Linked DNA regions of Arabidopsis thaliana. The protein of the gene in region 1 interacts with the protein of each later gene in a pairwise test. Each region holds a gene or a part of one and is shown in the gene's direction. Other genes may lie near its edges.

Region 1 (7,986 bases):
GTGGTTCGTAAAGTATCTAAAACGTCAAGGCGATTGGTTAGAGAAAACTAGAGGGAATCTTATGGTTACAGCTACGGTTATAGCCGGTATGAGCTTTCAAGTTATGGTTAATCCTCCCGGTGGCGTATGGCAAAGTGACAATTGTTCTTTCGGAAATCAAACCGGAACCGCACCGTTTTGTAAGGGGAGAGCGGGAACTGCGGTATTGGAATATGAGAGTTCAAAGCGTATAGCGTATATTGGGATGATTATTAGCAGTACAGTGTCATTTTCTACCTCAATGAGTCTCATTCTCCTTGTCATCAGCGGTATACGACTAAGGTACCAATAAATAAACTATATGTGCAACTCCATATAACAAGGCTACTTAGTATGTAAATTATTATAACTTGTTTGTATGTTAAGTCTGGAATTTTTATGTAACGCTTGTGTTTGACAAGATATTACTGAGAACTAAAAATAGTCATCTAAATTGAGATCTTGGTGTTGACTTTCGGTTTTAAGTATACCAACTATGTCGGCACAATGGTTGACTTAACATTAGCTATTTCAACAAAACTGGTCTGATTGGTAAAAATACTAATTCGATCGCTATTTGATTGGACTTTAAAACTATGGAAAGTTGATGACATATATCATAGTTATCTAATGGAATTTTGGTACACTCAGAATAAGTAGAGAAATTGTTTGGTATTAGAATAAACTAAAAGACACTTATATGATGATATAATTGTGTATATGAAGGAACCGGATGATAATGGCTATCCTCGGAACATTTATGGTGGTGGCGGTTCTTTGTATATCAGCGGCGTTCTTCTTCGCCATCGTGCTGGTTCAATCCGACGATCAAATAATTCGTTATATACTATTGATTTATGTGGGATTTTGGGTTGTATTTCCTGTTTTGATACTTTTAATCCAACTTGTTCGATTTATAGGTTGGCTTATTTGTTTCATGTGTTGTTGTTGTTGTCCACGTCGGCGACGGTTCCATTAGGGAGAGGTCCCATTAAGAAGAGAAGGAACCCGTGTTTCGAACCCACGTATGAATTTGGAACTTGATGTAGGAAAGTGATACTAGAATAAAAGTCTCCCAAGGACATTGTTATAACGTTTATTAATTCTATGGGTTATTTTTAAACTGTTTAATAAATGCATTTGATTATGTGAATCTTGGCAATTGTGTGGGTTGGTTTGTTGTAAAGTTAATTAATTGCGTGGGTTTGTACTGTTTAATAAATTCGTTTGATTAAAAATTGTATGTTCAAATAATGTGAATCGTGGCAATATCGCCTTGTGAATCGTGATTGGTGAACGATCGTGGTAATTTTTTTTTTTGCCAATAGTTATTCTTACCATGATCTTAGTCCAAATCGCTCGTATAACACAGTAATAAATAAATACAAAAAAAAAGAACAAAGAAAACAAACTAGAATGCGGTGCACACTAGAATGAAACATTACAAAAAACGATTGTGAGCATCTCGTTAATGGGAGAGATTAATATATCCGGAACAAAGCAATAAATATTTTCTCAAAAAAAAGAAGATATAATCATCTCAAAAAAAAAACAAGATAATTCTTTTGACGTAGAATATATAGTAAATAAAAAAACGTGGAATATAGCAATGTTTCATATATATATTCGTAAATCGTTGATTTTTATGTGATTGGATGGATGATGAAGCAAAAGTATTATATTCCCTTATATAAAACGAAGAATATCGTAAAGAACCCTCGAGGCCTAAAAGATGGTTAGGGTATAGACTATAGGCTATAGTATTAACATGTCAATTGTAAATGTCATGAAACTGAAAAAAGAAATAGGGAAAAGTGAGTCAAAGGGAGAAAAGGAGGTAGGTCTCTTGCCCTATAATATCTGCATTTACCCACCCATCATCTCCTATAATATAACCCATTTATAACTCTCCATTTTCTTCTTTTTTTGGTAAAAGTTTGAATTAACTCTTCATTTTCATTTTAATTAATTCGCTAAAAACATAATAAAAACAAGAAGAGAATAGATGATGATGATACAGATGAGTGACTAAAATGGAAATTTATGCACTAAAATGGAAATATCCCTTGGTCCAAAGGTCTTTCCACCTTCTTCTTCATAGCTTAATCACCATGATTATGATCATATATATCTTTGACCAACCAACAAGAGTGGAGCTCTAACTAATATGTGTAGGTACCATCTTACATATCTCCATATACGCATGCATATCATTTTCGAACCAATTTAGAAGGTGATGTATATAATCAAAAGTATTTAGGATGATGGTTTATCGCGTGAACACCATTTTGTTTAAGTACGTGGTCATCGCAAGGTAACCATCTTTATTTTCTTGGGTTGATCTTCACTAGCTATATATTAACCAATTACATATGTATTATTTTGTACTGAAGAAAGGATATAATTTGTAATCGCCAAATGATTGAATTAGTATTTGCTAATTACAAAAATTTGTAGAAATCGCGATAATTATCAACTTTTTTACTATATCCCATCATTCTACTATTACGCAATGTTATCAATTGTACTAGTTTGTTTCATCCACTATGTAAAATCATTCAAACCCTAAAGTCGATGCTCATCAGCTCATGTATATGTATGTATCATGTATATGTACATAAGATATAAAACCTTTATAGATGTGCATGTAAAAGAATGGTAGATAGTAGTAGTAGGTGTGTAAGGAGAAAGATCTAGGGGGCTTCAAAAAAAGGAGAGAAAAGGACAGAGCATGTGAAAAGAGACAGAGAAACAAACAGAGGAGTGAACAGTCTTACTCTTTTTTTTTTCTATGCACTTAATGAACCCAACCCTCTCTGTATATTTCTGATTCTTCACATGTCTTCCTCTTCTTTTTTATTCCGAAAACTTTTCTTCAGTAAAAACCAATGCCGAAAAAAATACATAATAAAAACGACAAAATATCTAACATTTTTTATATAAAAAGGACAAAAGTACTTTCACTTCACTTGCAACCAAACAAACCTAGTCCCCTTCTTTATCCAATGGTCTCTCCCCTGCTCTCTATTTCTCATCTAAACACCCTTTTCTTTCTTTCTTATTTACCATTTTGCCAACTTATGTAAAAGATGTTAAGAAGAAAATGTGAAAATTTAGTAAAAATCTCTCTTTTGTATTGTCGTCAGAAACTGTAAAATAATCTTACTCTTTTTCAAGTCAGCATATAAGTTTGGTTTCTTCTCCCGAGTCAGAGATTCGTGCAGTGATGATACAAGAAGCTTATTCCGAATTCTTTTCATAAATACTCGTATTTCCTTCTTCTTTTTTTTTTTCTTTTTTTTAACATCTATCTGTTCTTCTTGCATCTATCTGATTTTCCTCTGTCTTTTAGACAGTAATAACAGAGCTCACTAAATGTAATAAATAAAAAAATGAGCTCAATAAAAAGGTAAATGGCACTCATTTTTAGGCCATCAAGTGTTGGGATACAGCTGAAATTAAAAAGGCGTCAGCTCAAAGGAAAAAATAAATAAAAAAGATTCCCAAAAATCAATGCACTTTTATAGAAAAAAATACACATAATTTCAAAAAATACTTAAATTTTGAAAAATAAGATGAAGAAAGGATTGAGAAGAGAGGAAAGAGTAGTCAGAGAGACAGGAGCATCAAGTGCTGCAGAAGAAGCAACAGGAACACTGGGCCTGAGTCTCTTCAGATTTGCCAGTCTTTATAGGACCACACTCTTCTTCTTCATCCCCCTTACATACATTTTATCTATTTTTACATTTTACAATATTGGATATTTTAATGTTGTTTTGATTTTACACTACATGGCAAAACTCCTTAAAAGCTCTTGTCCTGATGTGATTCTTTTTTCTTTTCAACACTGTCTAAATATCTCTCTCTTCTTTGTGATCACTCTTTGATTTATTAACTTTCTGATTACCATTCCCCCCAAAATAAACCCTACTAGAGTGTGACTAATTGTATAGTAATCTCTATTGTGTAATAATCTTTTATCTTTCCTCAATACAAAAAAGTAGGGTATATATATAAAAGAGGGAGTGGCCTCGTGTAGAGAAAGAACCTAGCTAGTGTTCATGCAATTTGCATCTGAGGAATATATGCTTAGAAAGAGAGAGAGAGAGAGAGAGAGAGAGAGAGAGAGAGAGAGAGATATCAAACCAGAGGAAAAGAGTGACAGAGAAAGTGGTCATCTTTGTCTGTCTCTGTCCGAAACTCAGGAGCCCTAATCTCTGAATCCATCAAGAAAGCTCTTTCTCTTCCTTCTTTTATGCTTCTGAATTTGCTACATATATAAACTATCTGAAGAAAGCTAGAGAATAAGATGATGAGTCTAAGTGGAAGTAGCGGGAGAACAATAGGAAGGCCTCCATTTACACCAACACAATGGGAAGAACTGGAACATCAAGCCCTAATCTACAAGTACATGGTCTCTGGTGTTCCTGTCCCACCTGAGCTCATCTTCTCCATTAGAAGAAGCTTGGACACTTCCTTGGTCTCTAGACTCCTTCCTCACCAATCCCGTAAGCCCTATACCTATACTTAATTTTCTTTCTTTCATGTTTTCTTTTCTTGCATAAAGTTTCAATCTTTTGTTGATTCTCATGCCCCCAAAGTTTTCAGCTTTATGTGTTTTAGAGTGATTTGGTTTCTGGTTAAAGTCTCTAGCTTTTTTTTTCAACGACCACTTTTAAAAACTCAGTTTCCACAGTCTTACTTTTAATGATTTTGGAACTTAAGGTCCTAATTAGGGTTTTACATCATGATTAATTTTAGGGTTTCGTTTTAATTAAATGATGCAGTTGGATGGGGGTGTTACCAGATGGGATTTGGGAGAAAACCAGATCCAGAGCCAGGAAGATGCAGAAGAACAGATGGTAAGAAATGGAGATGCTCAAGAGAAGCTTACCCAGATTCGAAGTACTGTGAAAAACACATGCACAGAGGAAGAAACCGTGCCAGAAAATCTCTTGATCAGAATCAGACAACAACAACTCCTTTAACATCACCATCTCTCTCATTCACCAACAACAACAACCCAAGTCCCACCTTGTCTTCTTCTTCTTCCTCTAATTCCTCTTCTACTACTTATTCTGCTTCTTCTTCTTCAATGGATGCCTACAGTAACAGTAATAGGTTTGGGCTTGGTGGAAGTAGTAGTAACACTAGAGGTTATTTCAACAGCCATTCTCTTGATTATCCTTATCCTTCTACTTCACCCAAACAACAACAACAAACTCTTCATCATGCTTCCGCTTTGTCACTTCATCAAAATACTAATTCTACTTCTCAGTTCAATGTCTTAGCCTCTGCTACTGACCACAAAGACTTCAGGTTCTGTGATCTTATCTTTAGTTTCTCTTGTTGATCTTTTATGGAAACTTTTATTGATGGATTGTTTTTTGAATTCAGGTACTTTCAAGGGATTGGGGAGAGAGTTGGAGGAGTTGGGGAGAGAACGTTCTTTCCAGAAGCATCTAGAAGCTTTCAAGATTCTCCATACCATCATCACCAACAACCGTTAGCAACAGTGATGAATGATCCGTACCACCACTGTAGTACTGATCATAATAAGATTGATCATCATCACACATACTCATCCTCATCATCATCTCAACATCTTCATCATGATCATGATCATAGACAGCAACAGTGTTTTGTTTTGGGCGCCGACATGTTCAACAAACCTACAAGAAGTGTCCTTGCAAACTCATCAAGACAAGATCAAAATCAAGAAGAAGATGAGAAAGATTCATCAGAGTCGTCCAAGAAGTCTCTACATCACTTCTTTGGTGAGGACTGGGCACAGAACAAGAACAGTTCAGATTCTTGGCTTGACCTTTCTTCCCACTCAAGACTCGACACTGGTAATTAATTAATCTGCAGACGTAATCTTATGATCTATGCTAATTATTGATAGTTTCAAAATTAGTTTAAATTTATTTTCTCAGGTAGCTAATTAAGTAGAGCTGGCATCAATGATGGATCTGCACCAACACACACAACTGTGAAATGTTGAAGAAGAGTCACATTTCACATCTATTTCCGTGGAACAATGAGACAAGACACTGTTTGCAGAATCCTATATGTATTTTTTCTATCTTTTTCTATGTGTGTTAGGTCCAACAAGAAAAAGTGATCCGACAGATATATCTGTATGTGTTCTCTTGCTTTCTCAAGAAATCAGATTTTATTTTACTGTCGCTGATAGCAACAAAAGAAAACATGACTTGATTTGTGAGGGGTATCGTTATATATAATTTATTTGTTTCTTAGGATGCAAGCATCTATATAGTTTCACACATATAATCTAGATTTTTTCTAAGGCCATGTTCTGATTAACTTACTTTAAATGTAAAACATTCATGCAGAGGAATAATAGTAGACTAGGTTGCAAATTCTGTAGGGCAAAGGATACGATTATCCGCAATTAGTTAAAGTTTTATATGTAAACACAGACACAAATAATCAATTACTATCTAAATGGCTGTATGTTGAGATTATCCGCAGGTTATGAAATGACGTTACATAGGCCCAAGTCTTGAATCACGCATTTACGAAACGAGAGTATGGTCAAAACTCTACATAATATGGCAAAACATTAAACTTATTATTATAAGAAGAAGAACCATAAATTTTGTTGTCGTTTATAGAAAACAAACAATCATATACAACTTTTGGTGTATGCTTCCTTCCATGTATGTGCTCCTTTAGCAAAAGGAAAGATGGGAGAGTTAAAAGACAAAACGTCATGACTCTTGATCCATTAATCCTTTTACGTGCGTATGAGTACTTGGAATCATTGGTCATTACCAACATTAATCTTATATTTTTAATATAAATCTCATACGTATAAAATATGTATGCTGAGAATTTTTAAAAGCATGTTGCCACCGAAGATTCTGTGAACGGAATAAGGTCCAGATTAAAACCAGCTCATCTTTGGTCATACCAAACAAAAACGCGTCCTAAACACTTTCATAGTAGGGAACAACAAAATCAATATTATCATTCTTCAACCATGTCAAACTATCCTAACCAGACCGGTTTCCATTAACCGAATCAGGTCAAGGAACTTTCAGACCACCGGAAATTTCAAAAACTCTGATTAATCGGTGTCATCCTTGGCTCTCAAATACGCCCTACCACCAGTTCTAAACTAAACCAGAGGCCAGTTTTCACTTTGCAACATTAACACTAAAGATTCCGACATTTTCTGACTACAAGAGCTATCAAACATGAAAGATTCGATACTTTCTGATTCCAAGAGCTATCAGACACGAAAGAATGACATTTTCTGATTCCAACAGCTAGTCTAAGCAGTTCCTATCTGAAAAATGTCTCAAGCGTCAAAATCAAACCAAAGAGAACTGACAAAGAATCTATTGTCTACGAAAAGCATAACATGAAAAAAGAAACTTGATCTTCCTACCACCTTACTGTGCCTTGAACCTCACTCCTAATAACAACATTACACAAGCAAACCGAAATATCGGAAAACACAAATAAACAGAGGATTTGTGTACAACCATGAATCATTAAGAGAGGTAGAGAACGTAACACACATTTGCGAACTCACAAAATGAAATTAGATATCGGTTTCATCATCTCACAGAATCCCTAAAACAATTTTACATGACTTGAGCCATTCTTTTTTTTTTACTTTCCCCCAACTCTCTCGGTTCCCTCTCTCTAGTTAGCATCGTTAGGCATGTAAATGAAAAACTACACTCCCTTAAAAGAACAAAAAAATTCAGAATACAAAGAAGAAGAAAAAGAAGGAAAGTGTCAAATCCAGAATGTACCCATTTACAGAGGAAAAAGGCTGATGAAGACTTTGAGGAAACATCATTGCAGCAATCAATCTTTCTTAGATCCTCGTCTCAAAAGTGTGTGTTTCCCGGTTTGATGAAAATTCAATAAAATGTGTCTTCCAAATTCAATAAGTATGTGTCATCCTTAGAAGCTGCTTTCTTTTGAAAA
Region 2 (8,835 bases), on another chromosome or scaffold:
TAAATATAGCCGTATAGGGTTTTAAAAACATTTATATGGTTAAACAAAGTGCCAGAATCTAACTAACAAACTCGCCTAAGTCCTAACTCCTCTTTGTAGACTTGTAACGTACAGAGAAGATTGTATAAATCTATGAGCCTTATACTATAAAAGCCCATTCTCTCCACTAGTTTATAAGCTTTGGTTATGGTGGGCTAAAAGTTCCAATCGAAGCCTGAAAAGTGTGAACATCATAACGGTGAAGTGCACTCTAAGGACTGTACGTTCCAAAACAGCATGAACCATCCACAAAAATATTAACAAAATATAGAAAAATAATAAAGACAGAGAGGCTAAAAGAGATGATGAGTTATATAAGAAGTTTGACTAAATAAGTTTGCAGCTTTGACTAGCCCACCTTCTCCCACCGACTGCCAACCCATCCGTCAATATTTCTATCTTCATTTCCTCACAAATATTTATTCAATCTCTTCATTTTCAAATATATAGTTTTCTAGTACTCGTAGTATGGTCTAAAGACTTTAAAACTAAATAAAATGGTAGGAAGTAAATGCAAATTACTTGAATTTGTAAACTATATTCATACTTTCGCAATGTTAGATTAGTCTGAATTCAAATGTGATTAAATACGTTTGTATATATTACGTTATCAAATATAGGTTCAAATTGTAGGGATTGTCCATAACTATTGCGTATATATGTTCAAAATTATATTATATGTTGTATTTGTATACCATAGACGTTATGACATTTGTAAGTTGTAATGTATCTTAAATTAATGTTTTGACACCGGTTTTCAACTATTATGGACGTCTTTAACGTAAGAAAACTGACTTTCTGTGTGTTTGAAAATTAGTCTGCTTTACAAATTAATCTTTGCTTATATAATTTTTAATGATAATAAGATTAAAGAATTTGATAAAAAAAAAAATATATATTAAAAGTAATGTATATTGTTTTTACCAAAGATAATCTGAGGTTAAAGTTACAATAATAATCATATAGAAACAAGTTCAATAGCAAAATTAACTTAGACATGCAATTTACCGATTTCTTGACATTAGTCGAAAAACATTTGAAACTCGGTTATACAATGAGGTTATCGTTCAGGCCTCTGGAAAGAAAATCAATTCTATAATACTTCAATAACTTTTTAGTAAAACTAACTGGATCAACTGATGAATCATATATCAAAAAAACAAAAAAAAAAACTAACGGAGGTAGACAATAGTTTAGCTGGAATGCTTGAAGAAATGGCAAGAATATGCTTCGAGAAGTTATGATTTATGAAGAGGTTACCTGCAAATTTTTTCATTTCTTTTTGCCGACGGTTGGCTGTTAGTTAGGAAAAAGAATTTTTGTTATAGGATTTTCTCTTCCGTTTCGTACAAACCCAATCATTATTCTCGTCTTTATACTTAACTTTGCCTCTCATTTTCATGTTATCAATCTTTTAAATTAAATATATCGTCAATGACTGTTATGAATAATTAGTTCTTCATTCTCTGCCTTGGTTCGAACCTCAGTCACATGGTGCACGTTATTGTGATTTCCCATACCTCAAGAGTTATTCAAGATCCCTTACAGAAATATATTTATATAATCTTTTATCTAATGTAGTTATTTACAAACATGTATTATCTACCAAAATAAAAAGGGCTAAAAGCTTCTTGAGTGAGACCGCTTTTGGTTCGATTCATTTTCCTACACTCCAATAGTATTACACTATTGTATATAACAAGAATCGTGGGATTTGTTTAATCCGTACAATGAAACAAGAAAGATATACAATAACTTAATATCATTTTTTTTTGGGGACAATCTTAATATCATTTCTAATTTCTATAGAACCAAAAACACTCATAACAACTTAAACTTTGTTTTTTGTGAGAAAAATAACAACTTAATTACTAGTTACTACATTGACAATTTAACATCTTCAGCTAAAACCGAATGTATATGAACATTTATAATCTAGTTGCTATTGTATATACGATTGGATAATACGCATATCGACATTTAAATAATTGAGCCTGAAGATAATTCACAAATATGCAATGTAAATCCGTCCATACAGCCAAAAGTATGTATGTCCCATGCATAATTGAACAAAAAGAAATTATATTAATATTATTTTTGTTGTCTTCTGCAAATGCTAGGACTGCTATCATTATCATCATTGATTTTAATATTGATGTTTCCAGAAAAATAAATAAACAAATATAAAGAAAAAAACAAACACAATAAGTAAAGCTACACTATTAGGTAATAATTAAAGCTCATTTTTAAGTCTAAAATTTTAATTATAAAATAAAAACATTAAAAAGTTAAGACCCAAAGAAACATAAATGCTTTTTTCTTTCATCAATGTCAAAAAAGAAGTTTTCCCACCAAATGGTCAAACTTGGATCTTTGACAATATTGTTCCAATTTCATCATGCCCTATCTTTTCTATTTATACACATACCTTAGATATAATTATTAAACCCAAAATTTGTGTTAAGAAAAAAAATAGACCCAAAATTTGTGTTAAGAAAAAAAATAGACCCAAAATTTGGAATATATATATAAGTCACCGCTGGAAAAAAAATTATTGCAAGTAATTTCTTATATGAAATTGGAATGATAATATTTTGATCAAGTATCCATTACTAAAATTTTACAACGCTAGATAACGAGATTGCTTGAAGTCGAACTTGTGAACAAATTATAATAATGTAAAACTAACTTGTATTGACTAATCTTTGATTTTTTTTACAATAATGAGTGATATTACATTCATTTTATTAACTAAATACAACGAATATGATAAATATTCAGTCCTCTTATAAACTTTATGATAGTGAAAATTTGAGACATTGACAATTCTAGCATTCTAACATTTTATGAGATTACATGAAATGTCAATTTAGACCTTAAACCAAACGAATACATGATTCAAATTTGACCGACAAGTACATGATGCCTTCCCTTTGATCACGAAATTTCCACAAAGAGTCCGTGTCTGCGTAATTAACCAGCAATTTCAAGGGTGTTTACGTAATTGTAGCTTAACAAATAAAAAACACGAAAGAAGATGGCGAAGAAAACGGAAAGTAGTAGATAGATAAAGAAAGAGAAAGAGAAGAGCTGGATTCACATGGTCTTGTTCTTTCTCTCTCCTTCTTTTCTCATCTTGCGGCTTCCCTTTCTCTCTCTATCGCCACAATGATCATTACCAACCAAACTGATTGAAACTCATTTGTTCTCTCTCTCTCAAATCCACTCTCTCTCTTTCTTTTCTCTTCTCCTCTCTGTGTCTCTATCGCCATGGCTGATGATAAGGTAAAGCTGCTTGTGTTCCTTTTGCTGTCTTTTGAAGAAGAAGATCCTGTTTTTTGGTTTTTCCACATTTGACCCTTCAATTAGTTGTCTTGAGATTCCTGTTCTTACAGATGTTTTGTGATAATAAATCTAGTTTAGTTAGTACTCTTGAAGTTGAACGGTTTTGAGTTCTGGGTTTGTCCAAAGTTTTGAGCTTTCGTTAACTTTTTGACTTACCCTGAGATCTCTGAGGGTTTTGAGTTCTGAGCTTAGAATTTTCTAAGTTAGCTCTGTTGGGATGATCCATGTCTATATATCTCGATCTGTGATTAATCCAGAGTTTATACAAGCTGCTAGATCCATAATTGAACATAGATTAGTCCTTGTTTGGTTTGTTATATGTATTTGTTTTGTTTACCATTCTTTTGGCGTGACAAAAGTATATATTTTTAGTTTTAACTAAATCAGATTCACTCTGCGTAACGGTTATTTTGTAACCACTCTTTTAGGATAAAAGTTTCCTTCTTTAGACTTTTGATTCTCAGACAAGCATTATTCTTTTAGCTTTTGATAATGGTTTTGTGCTGATATTAAAGCTTTTCTCTTTCAGGAGATGCCTGCTGCTGTAGTTGATGGACATGATCAAGTCACTGGTCATATTATTTCCACCACAATCGGTGGCAAAAATGGTGAACCAAAACAGGTATTTTTAAGGCTTTTAACCAAATAGACTCACTTTTATGTATATGCAAGATTTTGATGGTTACCAATACATTTTTCTATGTTGTTGTTAGACAATTAGTTACATGGCGGAGCGAGTTGTTGGTACAGGCTCGTTCGGGATCGTTTTCCAAGCAAAATGTTTGGAGACTGGAGAAACCGTGGCGATAAAGAAGGTTTTGCAAGATAGAAGATACAAGAACCGAGAACTTCAGTTGATGCGTGTGATGGATCATCCGAATGTGGTTTGTTTGAAGCATTGCTTCTTTTCGACTACAAGTAAAGACGAGCTTTTCTTGAACTTGGTTATGGAGTATGTCCCTGAGAGCTTGTATCGAGTTCTGAAACATTATAGTAGTGCAAACCAAAGAATGCCTCTTGTCTATGTTAAACTTTACATGTATCAGGTAATAACAACACACATTCATATCTTCCATTTCCAAAGTTGATGTACATAAGATTGTTCTTAGGCTGATATTACTTCCTTTTGTTATGTTAGATCTTCCGGGGACTTGCTTACATTCACAATGTTGCTGGAGTTTGTCACAGAGATCTAAAGCCTCAAAATCTTCTGGTATGTGTAACATTTTAAGATTGAACTCTTTGTTTTTTTTCTTGCCTTTGTTTCTTTCGTTCTTAATGTATCTCTTCTGGTCTCTTTCTATAGGTTGATCCTCTTACTCATCAAGTCAAAATCTGTGACTTTGGCAGTGCGAAACAGCTCGTAAGACTTTGTGACATATAAACTCATTCGACTTGTAGCGGTTGTTGTTTTCTGTGATCTTGTCATTTACTGTTGAAATTTACTTTTGCTTCAGGTTAAAGGTGAAGCCAACATTTCTTACATCTGCTCACGATTCTACCGTGCACCCGAGCTCATATTTGGTGCCACTGAGTACACAACTTCTATTGATATCTGGTCTGCTGGTTGTGTTCTTGCTGAGCTTCTTCTTGGTCAGGTAAACAATTCTTTCAGTAACCAGCTTATTCAATCTCCATGTGTATATTTGCATTAGGACTCATTGTGACTATATCATGTTCTTATGCAGCCATTATTTCCCGGAGAAAATGCTGTGGATCAGCTCGTTGAAATTATAAAAGTAAGAATCTTTAAACGATGATTCCTTGCAAATTACATTCTTTGGCTACAAAATCCTCACTGTATAGTTGTTGTACACAGGTTCTTGGTACACCAACTCGAGAAGAAATCCGTTGTATGAATCCACATTACACAGATTTCAGGTTTCCACAGATAAAGGCACATCCCTGGCACAAGGTTAGTGTCTTTTCTCTTTTTGCATGTGTTCTTGTTTCAGTTTCTTTCTTCACACATCAACTGATCATAATTACGTTTTGGTTTAGATCTTCCACAAAAGGATGCCCCCAGAAGCGATTGATTTTGCATCAAGGCTGCTTCAATACTCTCCAAGTCTAAGATGCACAGCGGTAAGCATTGGTCTTGAGGTTTCTTCAGTCTCTAAGAATCCAACTGAATCCTTACTATATATTTTGTTTCCTCGTATTTCAGCTCGAAGCTTGTGCACATCCGTTCTTTGATGAACTCAGAGAACCAAACGCTCGTTTACCAAATGGACGGCCTTTCCCGCCTCTCTTCAACTTCAAACAAGAAGTAGCTGGATCATCACCTGAACTGGTCAACAAGTTGATTCCAGACCATATCAAGAGACAATTGGGTCTAAGCTTCTTGAATCAATCTGGAACTTAAAAGGGATCCTGCAAAAGACAACTACTTTTTTATATATAATGTACCATTACACGAGCCACAAGGTCGTAGTTGAAGGCAAACGTGGAGGACACAATTCAAAGTTTTTCCTCCTCAAACTCGTTCAGACAAAGCCAGCTGCTAGCAAAACCAACTCCCCCAAATCTGCGAAAACAAAAACTCTCCAGTGTTGTATCTGCTTATTTCTCTTCTCTTTTCAAGTTTGGTGAAAAACACAGTCTCCTCTTTGCTTCATTTCTTCTTTCTTTCCCCCTTATGTAAATGAGTTTAGTCAGAAGTTTTTTTATATAGTAAAGTTTGGGCAGAAGGTGAAGAATGTAATCAAAGTGATACTCTTTCAACGAGGAGCTTCTTTCAAACACTTTTTTTTTTTTTCAAACACTTCATGAATGGATACATGGTTTTGCTTTAAGCATAAGTATATTTGTATTAAATTTTCACTCAATTTAATTGCACGAATCATTACAAAAATAATATCTCGCTACTCATATAAATACCCTATAAATAAATAAGTGAATTTTTTTTATCTCTCATGGAAATTTGATTTATGTATTTATATGTTTTAAGATTCGAAGAAATTTTTAAATAATGAAAATTTACAAATATATAATTCTTAATTCAGAATTTCAGATATTGAATTACTTATTGGATTTTTAAAACAAAAAGAAAATTACATGACTTTTTTTTTCTTTTTTTTTTTTAAATATCTGTTAGTTCAAGTTAAAAGACCATACATTTTCTAAAGGCGGGACCTATATCAGGTTAAATTCATCTCCTTTTAGAAAAAAAATATATTTGGGAAAGGCTTTGATAGCAAGCAATTAAAGTATCCGAAACTAACAAAACCTATCTGGTCTTGGACTCTTAGTCTTTATATAAACAACATCAGATAGATCGAGAGACCATACGCAACAATTTACTAATTTCTCTTCTCCTTCGTTGCTTTTGAAACCCTAGTTATTATCGAGAGATCAAACACGTACGTACACAAAAGACCGATCAAACAGAGAAGGATGCAGAAGCGTGAGTTCATGGAGTTGTTCGAGGCAGCACTTAGAGCGGCTAAGTCTGTGAAAGGTGATGAGAATTCTCCAGAGGTATCGAGGTTTGTCGATGCCATGAATCGTTTGAAGGAAGCACCCAAGTCACTTGTTTGTGACGTGGTCTGCAAAACCTCCATGGGGCAGGGTTTGGAATTCTTCATCGATCACAAAAACCCTAAAATTCGATCGGAAGGAAGGATTCTTCGGGATCTTTGGATGAAGTTTTTTTACGCTTCAGGTAGAGAAAAGAGCCGTGATAATAGAGAAGCTGCGGTGAAGATCCCGACGCACGCAACGATGAAGAAGACTGGAGATTCAAAGCGAGACAAAGTGCGTGAGATTCTACAAACATCTTTGGCTAAAGTCGCTTCTGAGGTTGTTGACACGGAGATGAAGACACGAGTGACTGCTTGTGATCCTTGGGTTGTGGCTGTATCTGTGGAAACTGCAATGTTTGAGAACTTAGGTTGTTTCATGGGACCTCAAAAAGCAAAGTACCGGTCTATTCTGTTCAACATGGGAGATAGTAACAATCCAGATTTGAGGAGGAAAGTGTTACTTGGTGAGATTAGTGGGGAGAGATTAGTGAAGATGGAGAAGGAAGAGATGGGGAGTGAGAAGATTCAGAAGGAGGTTCAAAGGATTAAAGAGAGAGCAAGATTTAAGGAAGAGAGTCGCGTGAAGATGCTTTCATCAGCAGATATGATCATCATTTAGTTAGCTGCAGAGATTTAGTCATGAGTTTCATTATTGTATAGAATCAGTATTCGTGTCAATTTTCTATCACAAACTCGAGATATTAGTAGATTGTAATTTCAATACGATGATCGTTTTCAAGTTGCTTCATTGAATGGTGTTTCTAAATCTGCGTTTAAAGAATCTAGTCAAAGTGTTTCGTTTCATAAGAGGGAGCTCTGCAGTTTATGCAGTTTAAGGGGTCTTTGGTTTTTTCTTTTGAATGTTTGTCTTCTATTCGCATTAGGACTCATTGTTCTTATGCAGCCATTAATTCCCGGAGAAAATGCTGTACAATGGTTCCTTGCAAATTACATTCTTTGGCTACAAAATCCTCATTGTATGAAGTTGTTGTACATAGGTTCTTGGTACACCAATTCGAGAAGAAATCCGTTGTATGAATCCACGCATTACACAGATTTCAGGTTTCCGCAGATAAAGGCACATCTGTGGCACAAGGTTCGTGTCTTTTCTCTTTTTACATACATTCTTGAGAGAACCAAACGCTCATTTACTTAATGGAAGGCCTTTCCCACCTCTCTTCAACTTCAAACAAGAAGTAGCTGGAGCATCACCTGAACTAGTCAACAAGTTGATCCAGACCATATCAAAACACAATTAGGTCTAAGTTTCTTGATTCAATCTGGAACATAAAGAATCTGCACAAAGACAATAACTCTTTAAATGTAATGTACCATTACACGAGCCACAAGGTCATAGTTGAAGGAAAAAGTGGAGGACACACTTCGAAGTTTTTCCTCCTCGAACAAGTTTGATGGTCAAAGCCAGCTGCAAGCAAACCAACTTCCCCAAATCTGCAAAAACAAAAACTCTCAAGTTGTATCTGCTTATTTCTCTTCTCTTTTCAAGTTTGGTGAAAACAATCTCATCTTTTCTTGTTTCTTTTACGCATATGTAAATGAGTTTAGTCAGAAGTTTTATATAGTATTTGAGCAGAAGGTGAAGAATCTAGTCAAAGTGATCACCAAAGTGTTTCATAAGAGTTTGTGCAGTTAAGGGTCTTTGGTTTTTCTTTTTTTCATACAGTACTTTTGAATTTTTGTCTTCTATTATTACCAAATTTTATGAAATGGTTTGTTTATGACTCATTTTCTTACAAAGGCAAAATCTTAAATACTTTTTTCCTGTATTTCTGCGTAAAGATTCTCTCATTATTCATTCATTGTCCTTGGTCCTTACCATATTCATCAAAGGTAGCTGAGAGAAGTCAGAGAATGATGATTCTTAACATGTTGTTTTAATTAAATGTAATAGCATGAGAGGGCAACA
Region 3 (6,981 bases), on another chromosome or scaffold:
AAAAGAAAACATCAAAACTAACCACAAAAAATATTATATTTAATTGAAAGTTTTTATTTTTGGTTTCTTTTTTAAATTCAATTTTAGATCAATATTTCCTAAATTTAGTGAGATAAGAAAAGTACTAAATGTACAAATAATATGATGATTAGATCAAATCTGACTTTATATTTCTCACTAACTCGCTTAGTATATTAGTAAATTTAATTTAAATAATTAAGATGATAGCTTATTATATTAACATTTTTAGCTATTTAGTTAGATACATTATAAATTTAGTTTCATTATCAGTGATATATAATCTGGTTTTGTTGATATTTTTTTGAGATAACACATCTTAAATTCCAAATCAAGATGATTGGACAAAATTTGCTTTACACTAATACCTTCCTTGTCTTCAACGCACAACCAAAGGCCAGAGAAACAAAAAAAAAAACTCTCACTGTAAATTTGGGCTTTTGCAATATCACTGGCCCAAAATATTTGCGGTCAAAATAAGAAAGTCACGTCTTCGTCAATCATCAACATCACTGGTCGTCTCTCCACGTGTACCGGAAAATGAATGAAGATCCTTAAAAACACGCCGGAGTGAAACCGAGCCACCATTGTTTTTTTCCAAATCTGCCAGAGTCCGTACCATGTCCACCATGCCTCCACAATTTCCCTTGGAGATCCGCTCAGCTCTTCGCCGGGCTTCCTCCACCGTCTATCTCCACCGTTCCATCAGCACCGTCACTACTACTCCTTCGTTTCGTCACCGAACGACGTTGTTACGACCGAGAGCTTTCTCTTCTTCCTCTGTTAAGCTCCCCACGAAACCTTCTCTTTGCACCGCCGACGAGCTTCATTACGTCTCCGTTCCTAACACCGATTGGCGTCTCGCTCTCTGGCGCTACTTGCCTCCTCCTCAGGTTTTCGAATTTCAACAATCACCTTTCTCTGTATCTGCAATTTGGATTATATATTTTTTTTTGTGATCAAGAATTTTCTCTCTTCTCTTAGGCTCCGACGAGGAATCATCCATTGTTACTGTTGTCTGGAGTAGGAACTAATGCCATCGGATATGATTTATCTCCTGGTGTATGTTACCTTCATCGTTTTTAATGTCAATCTTTATCATCAAGATCTACATTGTACTAGTGTATCTTTAGATGAGGAAGTAGATTTATTGTTGATCAATGTCAAGTAAATCTTCGTTGATGTCATTGCAGTGCTCTTTTGCAAGGCATATGTCTGGACAGGGATTTGAGACTTGGATTCTCGAGGTTCGTGGAGCTGGATTGAGTACACGAGTATCTGATCTTAAGGACGTTGAGGAATCTGCTCATGAATTGTCGAATCAGATAGAATCTACTGCTAGAGCTGCTGCAGGTAAAGAAACTTGTTCTGATGAAAAGCAGACTACTGATATTATGGACAGTAGTGCACCTGCACCAGCGTCGGATGTTTCAGTTGTTGGCGAAGCATCGGCTTGGGACGAGTCACAGCTTGTGGCGAGATTGACATCAACTTTCATGAGTTTGTCAGAAAGACTTTCTGGCTTTCTCAGTGAAGGTCAGTCTGTGTTCATGTCTGCTAAGTTGTTTGACAAAATTGCAATGCTTGTAGATGATACACAGCTGTACGAGCGCTTTAATGATATAAGATCGAAGCTTTTGAGTTTGATAGAGTCAAAGCAAAACTCAGGACTTGTTAACCAAGTCAGAGATTTGGCTCAGCGCCTTGTGAATCTTTTCGACGATGGTCAAAGGTCTGTCTCGCCTCCGCTGATTGATTTACAAGAGCGCCTCACTGCGACCATAGAAGATTTTCAGAAGCAACTGGATTTGATAGTTAAATATGACTGGGATTTTGATCACTACCTGGAAGAGGATGTCCCTGCTGCGGTGAGGCAATGTTGATCTTGCTGAATACTTCGCATAATCGTGTCTGAATTTTGTTTGAATTGGGTGTCCGTCTTTGGTTTGCTATAGATTGAGTATGTAAGAGCACAAAGCAAGCCCAAGGACGGCAAACTATTCGCAATTGGGCACTCCATGGGGGGTATCCTACTCTATGCAATGCTATCACGTTGTGGTAAGTTAGTATTCATCTTTCAAACAGAGGCTCATATATTAAGGCCGAAATTCATTTCTTCTCTATTATTTTGTTAGCTTTTGAAGGACGAGAACCTTCCGTGGCAGCTGTGGCAACTCTGGCATCATCGGTTGATTACACAACCTCAAATTCTGCACTCAAATTGCTCATACCTCTTGTACGTGTCGTTATGTTATATCACTCTGCGCAGGAATCTTTGACAAGAATTGATGTGCCATAAATATCTTTGGTAGCTAATTTACTAGATACTTCTTTTACAGGCCAATCCTGCAGAAGCTCTGAGTGTTCCAGTTGTTCCTCTGGGTGCTTTGTTGGCTGCCGCTTTTCCTCTTTCGACACGTCCTCCATATGTATTATCTTGGCTTAATGATTTGATATCATCAACAGATATGATGCACCCTGAAATGTTAGAAAAGCTTGTCTTGAATAACTTCTGTAAGTAAAAACAGTTGATCCCATTTAAGTATGTGAGTTCTTAATGTATTTTAAGTGGAAAAGAAACGTATCTTCATTAAGAAAAAGAAAATGCTGGAACAGTTACTATTAGATGCTTGAATGTACCATGACTTTTTTTGCAATCCGTAATTGCTCCCTTTATGGTGATTTTCAAGAGTTTCTTTGTTTTCTTACATCTAGGTACCATACCTGCAAAACTACTTATTCAGCTGACAACGGCCTTTCGAGAGGGAGGCTTACGTGATCGTAGTGGTAAATTTTACTATAAGGATCATCTTCCCAGAACCAGTGTCCCTGTCTTAGCTCTTGCAGGTGATCGGGACTTGATCTGCCCCCCTGCGGCTGTGGAAGGTATACTAACATAATGTTTATTATGAAATTCTGCATAGATGACTCTAGCATATACATGAAACCATTCATTTACCCAGATATGCATTTCATTTTAAATTCTACATTGCTGTTACTGAATTCTTTCGAGTTATGAGAGGCTGTATAAGGCGTAGATGGATTAACTTTTGTGATACTTTCCACACACACCAAATAAATTTTTAAGCTACTCACACATGCATTTTCACCATTATGACTAATTACAAATGCTTGTGAATATGGCAGACACTGTTAAGCTGTTTCCGGAGAACTTGGTCACTTATAAGTTACTTGGAGAACCAGATGGACCACATTATGCACACTATGATTTGGTTGGAGGACGACTGGTATGTTTGTTCCCCAGTCATTTCTAGGTCTCCTCCTATGTTGGAACTTTGTTCAATGCTGTATCATGTGCATGCTTGTTTCGTTTGTTAATCGTTTCTCTGACAACTTACTGCAGGCAGTGGAGCAAGTCTATCCTTGCATAACTGAATTTCTTAGCCACCATGATTCCGCATAAGTGAAACATTTCGGGAGTTTCTGTTCCTTGCATGCTATAGCACATGTAGATTGTAGACGTCGCACTAAGGTGGTGTCGAAGAAGTGTGTTTCAGAAGCGCCTGTTAAAAAGGATGCCATTTCCGTTTAAGACACGTACATTTAGTATCTGGGCAAACTGTACATGAGCTTAGGATGCAGTTTTTTCAAGTCATACACCTGTAAATTAGGAAAAGCATCGAATGAGATGCTGGAAGCTCTTGTCTACTGTGATGATTTCCCTTGTTTTGTTATGGCAACGAGCTTTTTATTTGAACATTTATCTTTAGAAGAACTGGTGTGTTCTCTTGTACTGCTTTGCTTCTTTTGGAGGACTTGAGTTATCCATGAGAGCAATTGTATAGACATGGATTTATGTGTACATTTTCTGTCTTAGATCCATTAATGACACAGCCCTACTTCTCAGATAATGTGTGGGATACATGATGTAATGATAGATCTGAATTGTCTAGTATTAAACAACAGAGCTCTCTTTCATGAAAGATATTGTCTCTCCACCATCATGTAAGACCATACCTAGTTCTTCTCTTTCTTTGTCCATAAATTAATTCGTTGGATTCTCTATGGTACAGAATTCTCTAGCACGACTTACCTATTTCTTTTGTAACGTGTTTGATGTTGAGTGATTACAGGTTTTGACTTGAGACAATGAGTTGTCAACACTCTCTGATAACATTGAGACACTTCACTAGATAGAGATGTGCTTGCTGTGATTAGTATAGTACAATTCTGACTTCACGATAATTTCAGGTTTTTGTGTTGGCTGACCAGATGTATTGCAGCGATCCTCCCCATCCCTTGCACTTAGTGGCATCAGACAAACAACAAAAAGACCACAAACTGATCCTTTCCTGGAAGGTAATGTGTTCTTGTCTTTTGTTTGTTCCCTGTCTGCAATGATGTCTCTTAACTCTCCTGACACTCTTAGCCTTAGCTGCTTGATATAAATCAACATCATTCTCACCTTTCTATGTATCTGTTATGTGCTGAATATGTATTTGTTATAGAAACCAACAATGGACTCAGACCCACTCGGTGTTTTCCCAAATTCTCCCAAGTATCATCCATATTACTCGCAGACCACGGAGTTTGGTGGCGTAATCGATTTAGGTCTCAGCCTGAGAACCATACAACATGAGATTTACCACTCATCTGGCCAAAGTGAGTTTCTTTGCCGTTTCCATTAGTATTTCCATTACCTTTAATTTCTTGGTAAATTTTTTCAACTCTGAGACGGTGTTTACTTATGAGTTATGACATGTGGCAAAGGATATTGTAGTAATGAAGGATACAGACGGAAGTGGGGTTATGTAAAGGTCACCATGGATGGTTTGGTGGTAGGTCGCAAGGTCTGTGTTCTTGATCATGGAAGCTATTCAACTCTTGCTCATCAACTCGAGGACATGTTTGGTAAGTTTTTCATGGGAAGCTTGGGATTCAAAGATGAGTAAGTACTATAAGTAGTAATGTTCCTAGTAGGCTTATACCGGATGTTCATTACAATCTGTAGGGATGCAGAGTGTGTCGGGATTGAGGTTGTTCCAGATGGAGTCTGAGTTCTGTTTGGTCTACAGAGACGAAGAAGGTCTGTGGAGAAATGCTGGGGATGTTCCATGGAAGTAAGCTCTTGATACTTTCTTTGTAGATTACTGAAATAAAGCGTTTACATGTGTTGTGATTTGTAAATGACAGTGAGTTCATAGAAAGCGTGGAGCGGCTGAGAATCACAAGAAGAAACGATGCTGTACTTCCCTTTTAATATTAGCTTCTCTCTTTCTTCACTCTTTGTTATAATTTCCAAGTCAGCCTTGAATCGGAAATGAAACAAAAGAGAAAAGGTAAATGTAACTTTGAATACGATTATATTCGAAATAAAGAAAGAACCACGAACTACTTTTTTCGGTGAAATCCTGATCACTAGAGCTCCGATATGTTACGTCTGGATTCTCGTCTTACCATGATACGAAGATATTGTGAACCATCCAGTTTTAAGATATAGTGGTGTAATTACGATGGTGAATTTGCCATTTTATCTTTCATACTTTTCAATTCATAATCCGCATAAACGAAAAATGAGTAGGATATCGAAGGCCTTGTGAAGACAAGAGAGCTCAACTCCGGCGACAACCTCGATCTTTTTTCTTACATTTTCATTCATACGGAGTTGTTGAAAGTCTACGACGTTATCTTTTACACGTAAGAGTGACTGAACCGGTGGCTGATTAGGATGACGTGATTTCCATAATTAATTCAACACCCTCCAAATACAGAAAGACATGCATTTATATAGTATAAAATAAAGACATATACAGTATATGCTCTGCATGCTTAATATTGTTACAAGTCAATGAGTCATCCATTCATATCTAATCCTCCTAAGAACCTAATCTGATCCATATCCATTTATTACTAAGAAAACGTTTTTTTGTTTAACATAACCAAATCAAAAGAAGGAATAATTTGGAATATCCAGAGAAGTCCATCTCAGCATCCAATAGGCAATAGGAAAGGTTTGACCAAAAACGTATACAGATAATAAAAAGTGTGCGTCAGCTTTGAGTGGACGCTGCGCCTCGACGCCTCCATTCCAATCTATAAATAAAGAACGAGAACTAAGACATAACCATCCAATTAAGAAAGAGAGGATTAAGACATAAACAAGACAAAACAAGAAGAAGAGATTTATTTATTACATAAAAATGGTTGTCGCCAATGATCTCTCGTCCAAGATTCTCCCCAGAGTTCTCATCGTCTCTCGTCGGACTCTCCGCAAGAACAAGTACGTGGACTTCGTAGGAGAATACCATCTCGATCTCATCGTCTCCTCCGGTGCCGTCCCTGTCATTGTCCCACGTGTCAATGGGATCCATTCTATGCTCCAGAGCTTCGAGCCTATTCATGGTGTCCTCCTCTGCGAAGGAGAAGATGTCGATCCTTCTCTCTACGCGGACGATGAATTATCAGACCTCTCGCCAGAAGACATGGAGGAGATTAAGAAGGCGCATGCAGAGGACATGACCATCGACCGAGAGAAAGACAGCATTGAGCTGACTCTAGCTAGACTCTGTCTCGAAAGAAACATTCCTTTCTTAGGCATTTGTCGTGGCTCTCAGATTCTCAACGTTGCCGCAGGTGGAACTCTTTACCAAGACATCGACAAAGAACTCGGAACTACGATGACAACGACAAATCATATAGATTATGACAACTACGATGGGCACAGACACGAGGCTAGAATCGTGGAGGAGACTCCGTTACATAAGTTGTTCGAGGAGATGGAGATAATGGTGAACTCGTATCACCATCAAGGTGTGAAGAGACTGGCTCAACGTTTTGTGCCGATGGCTTATGCTCCTGATGGTTTGATTGAAGGATTTTATGATCCGAATCGATATGATCCAAAGGAAGGTCAGTTCTTGATGGGTCTGCAGTTTCATCCAGAGAGGATGAGGCTTCCAGGCTCTGATGAGTTTGATTATCCAGGCTGCGCTTTAGTTTATC
Region 4 (6,541 bases), on another chromosome or scaffold:
AAGGATTTTGGTGGTTACTAAGAAAGCTAACAAATCTCTTAAAGTTCATTTTTGTTTTTTGATAGATATGAGCCTCGAAGATTAGAATCCAGTTGGACAAATTTTGTGATTTATTGTCAACTAAAAATAAACCTCCACAGCTACAAGAGCATTAAACTAAAATTTTCCAGTATTATTTTTTACCTCTAATCGAAATTGTGAATCACACTGACTAGTAAAAAGAGCTAGCTGATGGTAAAACGTAAAAGTTACTACCTGTAAGTAATTCCTGGAAAAAAAGAAAGATAAGAAAGCAACAAAATAGTCAAAAAAGAGGCGCGAAAGTGCAGTCAGATCAGGTGTGGGGAGAGAGGAGGAGGGGGTTCATGGAATGAGAAGAAGACACGTAAGCAGAGAGACATCAAAGTCATGATTTCGTGTGAGTGTTGAGTTGTGTTCTGTTTTTGTAGGAGGCAGCCAGTCAGTACCACTTGATGACGATGCTCCTTTTGTCCTAGCTGCTACTACAAAGACACGTCATAAAGCTCTTATGTATCACAGGCTCACGTGAACACGAAAGCCACATTCACATTTTTCTCCAAAATATTTCTTGAAAATGATTATTAGTACTGTAGTAGCTTATATAGCTTTGGGGTATCTCTCTTTTTTTTACTGTGCTTATAGGTAGGGTTAATTTAAATAATTAGATATGTCAGAGAGAGAGAAGTCAGACATCAGAGTTCGCACGTGTATAAATTTTGTTAGATATGGACCAATGCATTTGTTCAATCAAAACGACAGACCCTAAGCCTTGTCACGTGAAAGGAAACACAGATTTTTTTATTTATTTTTAAATAACCCTAAAACCAAACAAAAACATCTTACAAAATGTCAAGAAATAGAGAAGTTAAAAGACAAATTAATCTAATAAAACTTCAGTTGATAAAACAAAAACAAAAAACCTCTAACTAATTTGTTTTAATTCATTGTCTATTACTGAAAATTATAAGCCACTTCAATTGCTATAAATTTTTGACTCCTATGATTACTATATATTTTACACAATATAAAGACTTAAACTACGTCACTTTTTAGAGGGAAAAGAAAGAGCCTATGTAATCTACTCTATTAGTATAGACTAGAGAGTATAGTAAGTTTGCATAAGATGGGCTAATGAATTTTGGACAAAAAGAAAAACAAAATCAGTCAGAGCTAAAGATAGAGTAGTTGTGTCAAGTAACTTTATTTAATGATCTCCTTGTAGCCTTGTCCTCGTGCATCATAAATATATATGGGTGCCAATAAAACCCCAAAAGAGAGCATTTAAATACTTGTCAAATAATAGAGTGAAAGATACAAAAGATAGAGAGAGATGGCTATTATCAGTACTAGGGATTACGTCAGCATCCCTATGCCACAGGTTCAGTCAAAGAGGCGGCCCATTTTTCTTTCCTCTTCGTAAATGTACAAGATTATTTATTTTTAGTTCTTTTTTCTTTGATCATTTTGTATCAATGGTTGCTGTGAGAAAAAGCATCGAGATTGTTACGATCGAAAACAAAGTACTTGAATTATGAAAAAATGTTTGGAGAGCCTATGCAAAAATGATCTTTCTATCTTCTTTTTATAATAGCATAAATTTCATAGTATGGCATTATCGTCACTAGCAAGTAATGAGTTAATTTACCATAAGTTACAACGGTAATGAGGTTGTTTGGAGAGTAGAACTAAAATATTTTATTTCTAACCATTACCTAACAAATCTTTTTTATATAACAGAAGTTGTAAATGGTAGATAAGAAAACAGTATTAGCACTCAAAGGAATGATTAGCATTGTTTTCTTTCATGTCCTAGAATAAGTCCACTCACCACTAGAAGTATTCACTTTATGAGAAATCCTATTGTATTTTTTCAAATACATCAACTTATTAAAACAACATTATTTTGGTGTAGAACACCCACGTGTAACAATCTCTCAGCATACCACCGTCACATCACCCAACAGCAAAAGATCGAACGGTGCTTGATTCTTGCAAACCCCAGAGAAAACCTCGATCCTAGAAATCAAACACTATTCAGTTTTGTTTTTACTATTAACTTGCCATATATATTACGTATAGGCAACAAATAAAGATAGATAATCGTCAAAAGAAGCCGAGGATTACGGGTGTTCTCAAGCGGCCCTACAAACACACCTCTTGCTCTTTAAACTCACTCACTCTCTCTCTCATTTGGGTCAAACGAGCCAACAAAGCAAAACCTCTTTCTTCTCTTCTCCACTTTCTCTCTAGATTCTCTCATATTTCCCCTCTTGAGAGTCTAACAATGGCGTCAACGACGTGTGCAAGAGAGGTGCATTACAGAGGAGTCAGAAAGAGACCTTGGGGTCGCTACGCTGCTGAGATACGAGATCCTTGGAAGAAAACTAGGGTTTGGTTAGGCACTTTCGACACTCCCGAAGAAGCTGCTCTTGCTTACGACGGCGCTGCTCGTTTCCTCCGTGGTATCAAAGCCAAAACTAACTTCCCTTCTCCTCTCTCTCTCGACCTCAACCACCTCCCTTCCGCTCCCTCAGCCGCAACCGCCGCCGCAAATAACCAACCCCACCAACACCAACAGCTCTGGTTCGCTGCGCCTCCTCCTGTTCCTCCAAGCTCCGACCATCATCACCAACACCACCGCATTTTTCTCCGAACCGGTGTGCTAAACGACAAAACTTCAGATTACTCTTCTACAGAAGCGCCGCTTTACTTCACCTCCTCGCCTAACACAGCCACGTCATCGCCTGGTTATCAAGTGGTTGGGTTTCCGATGATGAATTCTTCTCCTTCCCCTGTTACGGTGAGACGTGGCTTAGCCATTGACCTCAACGAGCCTCCGCCGCTTTGGCTTTGAAAACAAACGATAAAGATGGATATAGCGGCGCCGTTTTGCCTACTTTTCTATACGGCGCCGTTTGAGACCACTTTCGGTGGAACTACTTTAGTTTCTTTTTTTAGCAAATAGTATCTTTTTGTTAGAGTTAGTAGACTTGTTTTTATAATTTAATCCTTCTTTTGTTCGTTATGTAAGAGTCGGAGATCGATTGTTGTTGTGAGATCCATATGTTGCGGAAAAAACAAGAAACTTCTTAATTAGCAACACAAAAACTTAACAACGTCTGAACGTGGATCTAATTATGTTTGTGGATCGTGTTACGACCGTCGCTTATGTCGGTTTCGAGGGGGTTTTAAAAATCTTATCGTATTCTATGGCGTGTCGTGAAGTACGGACTGACTTGTGCAGCTGTTTGCTTTGCTAGTGTCCTGTTTGACTCACGCGCCTCTCTCTTAAATCACGACAAAAGACGGACTGAGAAAAGAAGGAAACAAACAAAAGAGATAGAGACTAATGAGAGACGTAAATGCTGAGCAAGCGTGTGAGTTTGGACTGGCTTATTCACTTACGGACAAGATATGTGTATTATGAGTCTTGAGTTTGTAAATAAATTGTATTTTTTTATTTATTTTGAAAATTTTCATATGAATTCGAACAAAAGTTTTCTGATAAAATTAGAGGAAGTTTAATTGTCCTATAATTTTTCTGCTCATGTTTACCAATCTTATATATGTTATGCGTGTATACATATATATATAGAAGCATCTAAAAATATAAAATAAATAAAATTTTTGACGGTCCTATATAGATAAATATCAAATTCACATAACAAATTTATCTACAGAAGTCTTAAAATAACGCAAATTTCAGTAGTAAATGAAACAAACATGTTTGATATAATCAAATATCATAAGAAGTCAAATTAATTAACTAAAGGAGATCTCACGTAGCGAAATCAAAACTTTCATGCAGATTGTGAAGATTTTATGTTTATGTTTTATATGTAGAACCGGAATCGTGTAGTTTTATGAGACTATAAAACAGTCATAGAACTGTTACATGTGTTAGACACTTAGACATATGTATTGACTAAACAAAGATCATGCATTATGCATATTGCTTTCATAAAAGATCAAATTCTAACAGTTTCGTTGCAACTTCTTTTTATCGTATTTCATAAGCGATTTGTAATCGACCTCATGTAGCTTTTAGCAAGAGAAAGACAAAAAGAGTTTAGCGACAAATTTTATAATTTAAGAAATATTTAGAACCTAACAAAAAATTTATGTTTTAGGCCTAATAAACCAGTTGTATAATCTGAATTTAAACATATGTTCGCTATGACGACGAACCTCTGCATGTGTTTCTGCGGTGCAACTGAATTTACCAAATTGGCCAAAGAGACCCCACGCGCCGCCGCATGATATCGCTTGTGTTAGTGAAAAATCAATTCAAAACTTTGGGTTGCTACATTACTTTTTTTTTATATGGGCTTAACTGTTTATTTTAGTCCTTCCTTGCGTGTCTCTTGTCGTTTTCATAAACCTTATACCTAAGGTTTATATAATTATTTGACAAAACAAACAAAAAAGTCTTATAACAATTTAGTGCTATTTTTCTTGAAAGTGTGGCGGCAGTGGCCGACCATCAATTTTTGAGGTTTATAATCAATAATGCCTTTTGTGTGTATGAAATGGTTCGAAGATATGTGTCCAAAATAAGTCCCAACAAACTATCCGCGGTTTTGGAAATTATTGGTTTCTGGTTTACAATTTCTGAGTTTTTAACTTTTTGCTCTATGTGAGTATATTGTGTGCCTATTTAACCCATGAATTTAGGTAATAAGGCTAATCTCTTCAAAAATTATTCCTTTAGCTCAAAAAAATTCAAGAGGAACTAATCGTTAGTTTTATGTATCCCATTTGATTTCTTCATCTCCGAGAATCAACAAATTCAAAATGAAGGATTTCTGAGATTTGATATAGAACTGATAGGCTAAGAAAATCAAGATTATTTCTGTCAAAAAAATTATATAAGCTAATTGAAATCTAGTTATATTATATAAGATAATTGAAAGGCAATGGACATTGTTGACAATTGACAGTAATCTTTTTTTTTGGGGGGGGAGCAATAAACATTAATATTTGGGCCAAAAGAATTGATGGGCTGTTTAGCAATCGAGGTCCAAGTTCAGTTTTGTTAACGTTGATACAGATATTGTAGGTAAAGTATGTATATGGAAATGAGATATATATCGAGCAAACCTATACTCATGGACTACTGTATTCATCTAACATTTTGCCATTATTGATCCGACTTATACAAAAGACAGTTAGATGCTACACTACTCTTAACTTCACCCATACAAATCGACCATACAAGCTTTCTCTGGCCAGTACAAAAAATAAGGCTCCCTATGAATCTCTCAAGCCAAAAAAATTGATACTCACATAGAGGACAAAACTCTCTCATTGCAGAACATAACATTTAACCATAAGAAATGGCCAGTATCCATATAGGATTGCAGCCGATAATCAGACGTTATGTTTTTAGCAATGAGACTACCGCCTCTATCTAATGTCAGGCTTTCCCCAACAAGTTTCCATTCCCCAAACTGATATAGAATAAAGAGGAAATCCAAAGATTAGTATCTGAAAGATGGCTAACCTCTCGACGACTCGACCTATTTATAGTTCCTACCAAAACGTGTATAAACTATCGGTTAGGAGTTTGTCCAAAAGAAAAATTATGGGTTAGGAGAAATAAGTAACTATACATGTATAAATGACTTTCTCTTTATTTAGATATATTAAAAGACACAATATCTATGTTTTATTTTTCTATAATAGACTTTTGGTCAATGATAAGTTAAAATACATTCGCATATAAAAAATCGTACATTCATATATAGAAAAGATAACAAATATTATAATCTAAGAATGAAAACCGTACAATTCATTTTCCATATTGGCAAAAATGAAAATTAAATAAGAAATGATCATATAAGTTATCGATATACAAAATTTCATCTTAATTAAAAAAAAAAAAAAATTCAGGTAAATTGAGTTTTAACGAAAAAAAAAAATAGTGTGTTATACACGGTATAGACTACACCCAAATACAATTTAGATAAACAATCTATATTTTTCTTAAAACAACGATTAACATAAGATATCTACGAATGCCACTTTCCATAACAACAAGAAACAATACAACAAAACGATAACTTATTATTTTAGTTTTTGAATATAATATAAATTATAGATTGCTTATCTATAATTTATTAAAAATATATATATATATATAAATTAAAAAAAAAAAAAAAATTAGCGTTCTTACAACTAATGCCGTTATGTTTAACAATTTTACAAAGAAAAGTTAGAGCTTCTTGTCCTAGCTTGTGTTCCTTGATTCGAGCAAGATAACTTATTATTGCTTTTGTTCAAAACAGCAAATTTTATATTTGACCAATAATCTCATTATCCTGAATAAAGTATTATCTCCATTATATTTGTTTATTAAAAAAATAATTAAGAATCCTACTATTTCCTCAAATCCAATTGGATATAGGTAAAAAACATAAGATCAACAACCTTATATGTTCATCAGAGAGATTAATACCAAAACAAAGTATCATTTTAGTTGATCAGGATTATCATTAATGATATTTAAAAGAACATCAGC

The links.
Region 2: the proteins of GRF5 (region 1) and BIN2 interact in binary tests that used the Arabidopsis thaliana proteins (3 or more experiments, as listed by UniProt).
Region 3: the proteins of GRF5 (region 1) and IAA34 interact in binary tests that used the Arabidopsis thaliana proteins (3 or more experiments, as listed by UniProt).
Region 4: the proteins of GRF5 (region 1) and ERF12 interact in binary tests that used the Arabidopsis thaliana proteins (3 or more experiments, as listed by UniProt).

The regions. Positions count from the first base shown.
Region 1 is NC_003074.8:4,604,199-4,612,184, forward strand, and holds GRF5 (growth-regulating factor 5), read left to right. Parts: upstream 1-3,877; 5' UTR 3,878-4,327; coding exon 4,328-4,526; intron 4,527-4,805; coding exon 4,806-5,337; intron 5,338-5,415; coding exon 5,416-5,870; intron 5,871-5,954; coding exon 5,955-5,962; 3' UTR 5,963-6,299; downstream 6,300-7,986. Other genes in the region: AT3G13950 (ankyrin), read left to right, coding at 1-321, 745-997. UniProt on the Arabidopsis thaliana protein: Transcription activator that plays a role in the regulation of cell expansion in leaf and cotyledons tissues.
Region 2 is NC_003075.7:10,293,165-10,301,999, forward strand, and holds BIN2 (Protein kinase superfamily protein), read left to right. Parts: upstream 1-2,973; 5' UTR 2,974-3,309; coding exon 3,310-3,324; intron 3,325-3,361; exon of another isoform or gene 3,362-3,913; coding exon 3,914-4,006; intron 4,007-4,097; coding exon 4,098-4,430; intron 4,431-4,522; coding exon 4,523-4,597; intron 4,598-4,690; coding exon 4,691-4,747; intron 4,748-4,841; coding exon 4,842-4,982; intron 4,983-5,072; coding exon 5,073-5,123; intron 5,124-5,203; coding exon 5,204-5,299; intron 5,300-5,385; coding exon 5,386-5,469; intron 5,470-5,551; coding exon 5,552-5,749; 3' UTR 5,750-6,225; downstream 6,226-8,835. Other genes in the region: AT4G18720 (Transcription factor IIS protein), read left to right, coding at 6,781-7,423, 7,907-8,064. UniProt on the Arabidopsis thaliana protein: Negative regulator in brassinosteroid signal transduction pathway important for plant growth. May be also involved in auxin signaling pathway. Phosphorylates and increases the degradation of BZR1 and BZR2/BES1 by the proteasome.
Region 3 is NC_003070.9:5,180,514-5,187,494, reverse strand, and holds IAA34 (indole-3-acetic acid inducible 34), read left to right. Parts: upstream 1-4,081; 5' UTR 4,082-4,251; coding exon 4,252-4,338; intron 4,339-4,465; exon of another isoform or gene 4,466-4,487; coding exon 4,488-4,641; intron 4,642-4,749; coding exon 4,750-4,890; intron 4,891-4,990; coding exon 4,991-5,099; intron 5,100-5,172; coding exon 5,173-5,239; 3' UTR 5,240-5,504; downstream 5,505-6,981. Other genes in the region: AT1G15060 (alpha/beta hydrolase family protein), read left to right, coding at 639-911, 1,003-1,080, 1,212-1,886, 1,974-2,076, 2,154-2,254, 2,358-2,532, 2,734-2,904, 3,166-3,266 and 1 more; GAT1_2.1 (Class I glutamine amidotransferase-like superfamily protein), read left to right, coding at 6,180-6,981. UniProt on the Arabidopsis thaliana protein: Aux/IAA proteins are short-lived transcriptional factors that function as repressors of early auxin response genes at low auxin concentrations.
Region 4 is NC_003070.9:9,949,629-9,956,169, forward strand, and holds ERF12 (ERF domain protein 12), read left to right. Parts: upstream 1-2,133; 5' UTR 2,134-2,305; coding exon 2,306-2,875; 3' UTR 2,876-3,477; downstream 3,478-6,541.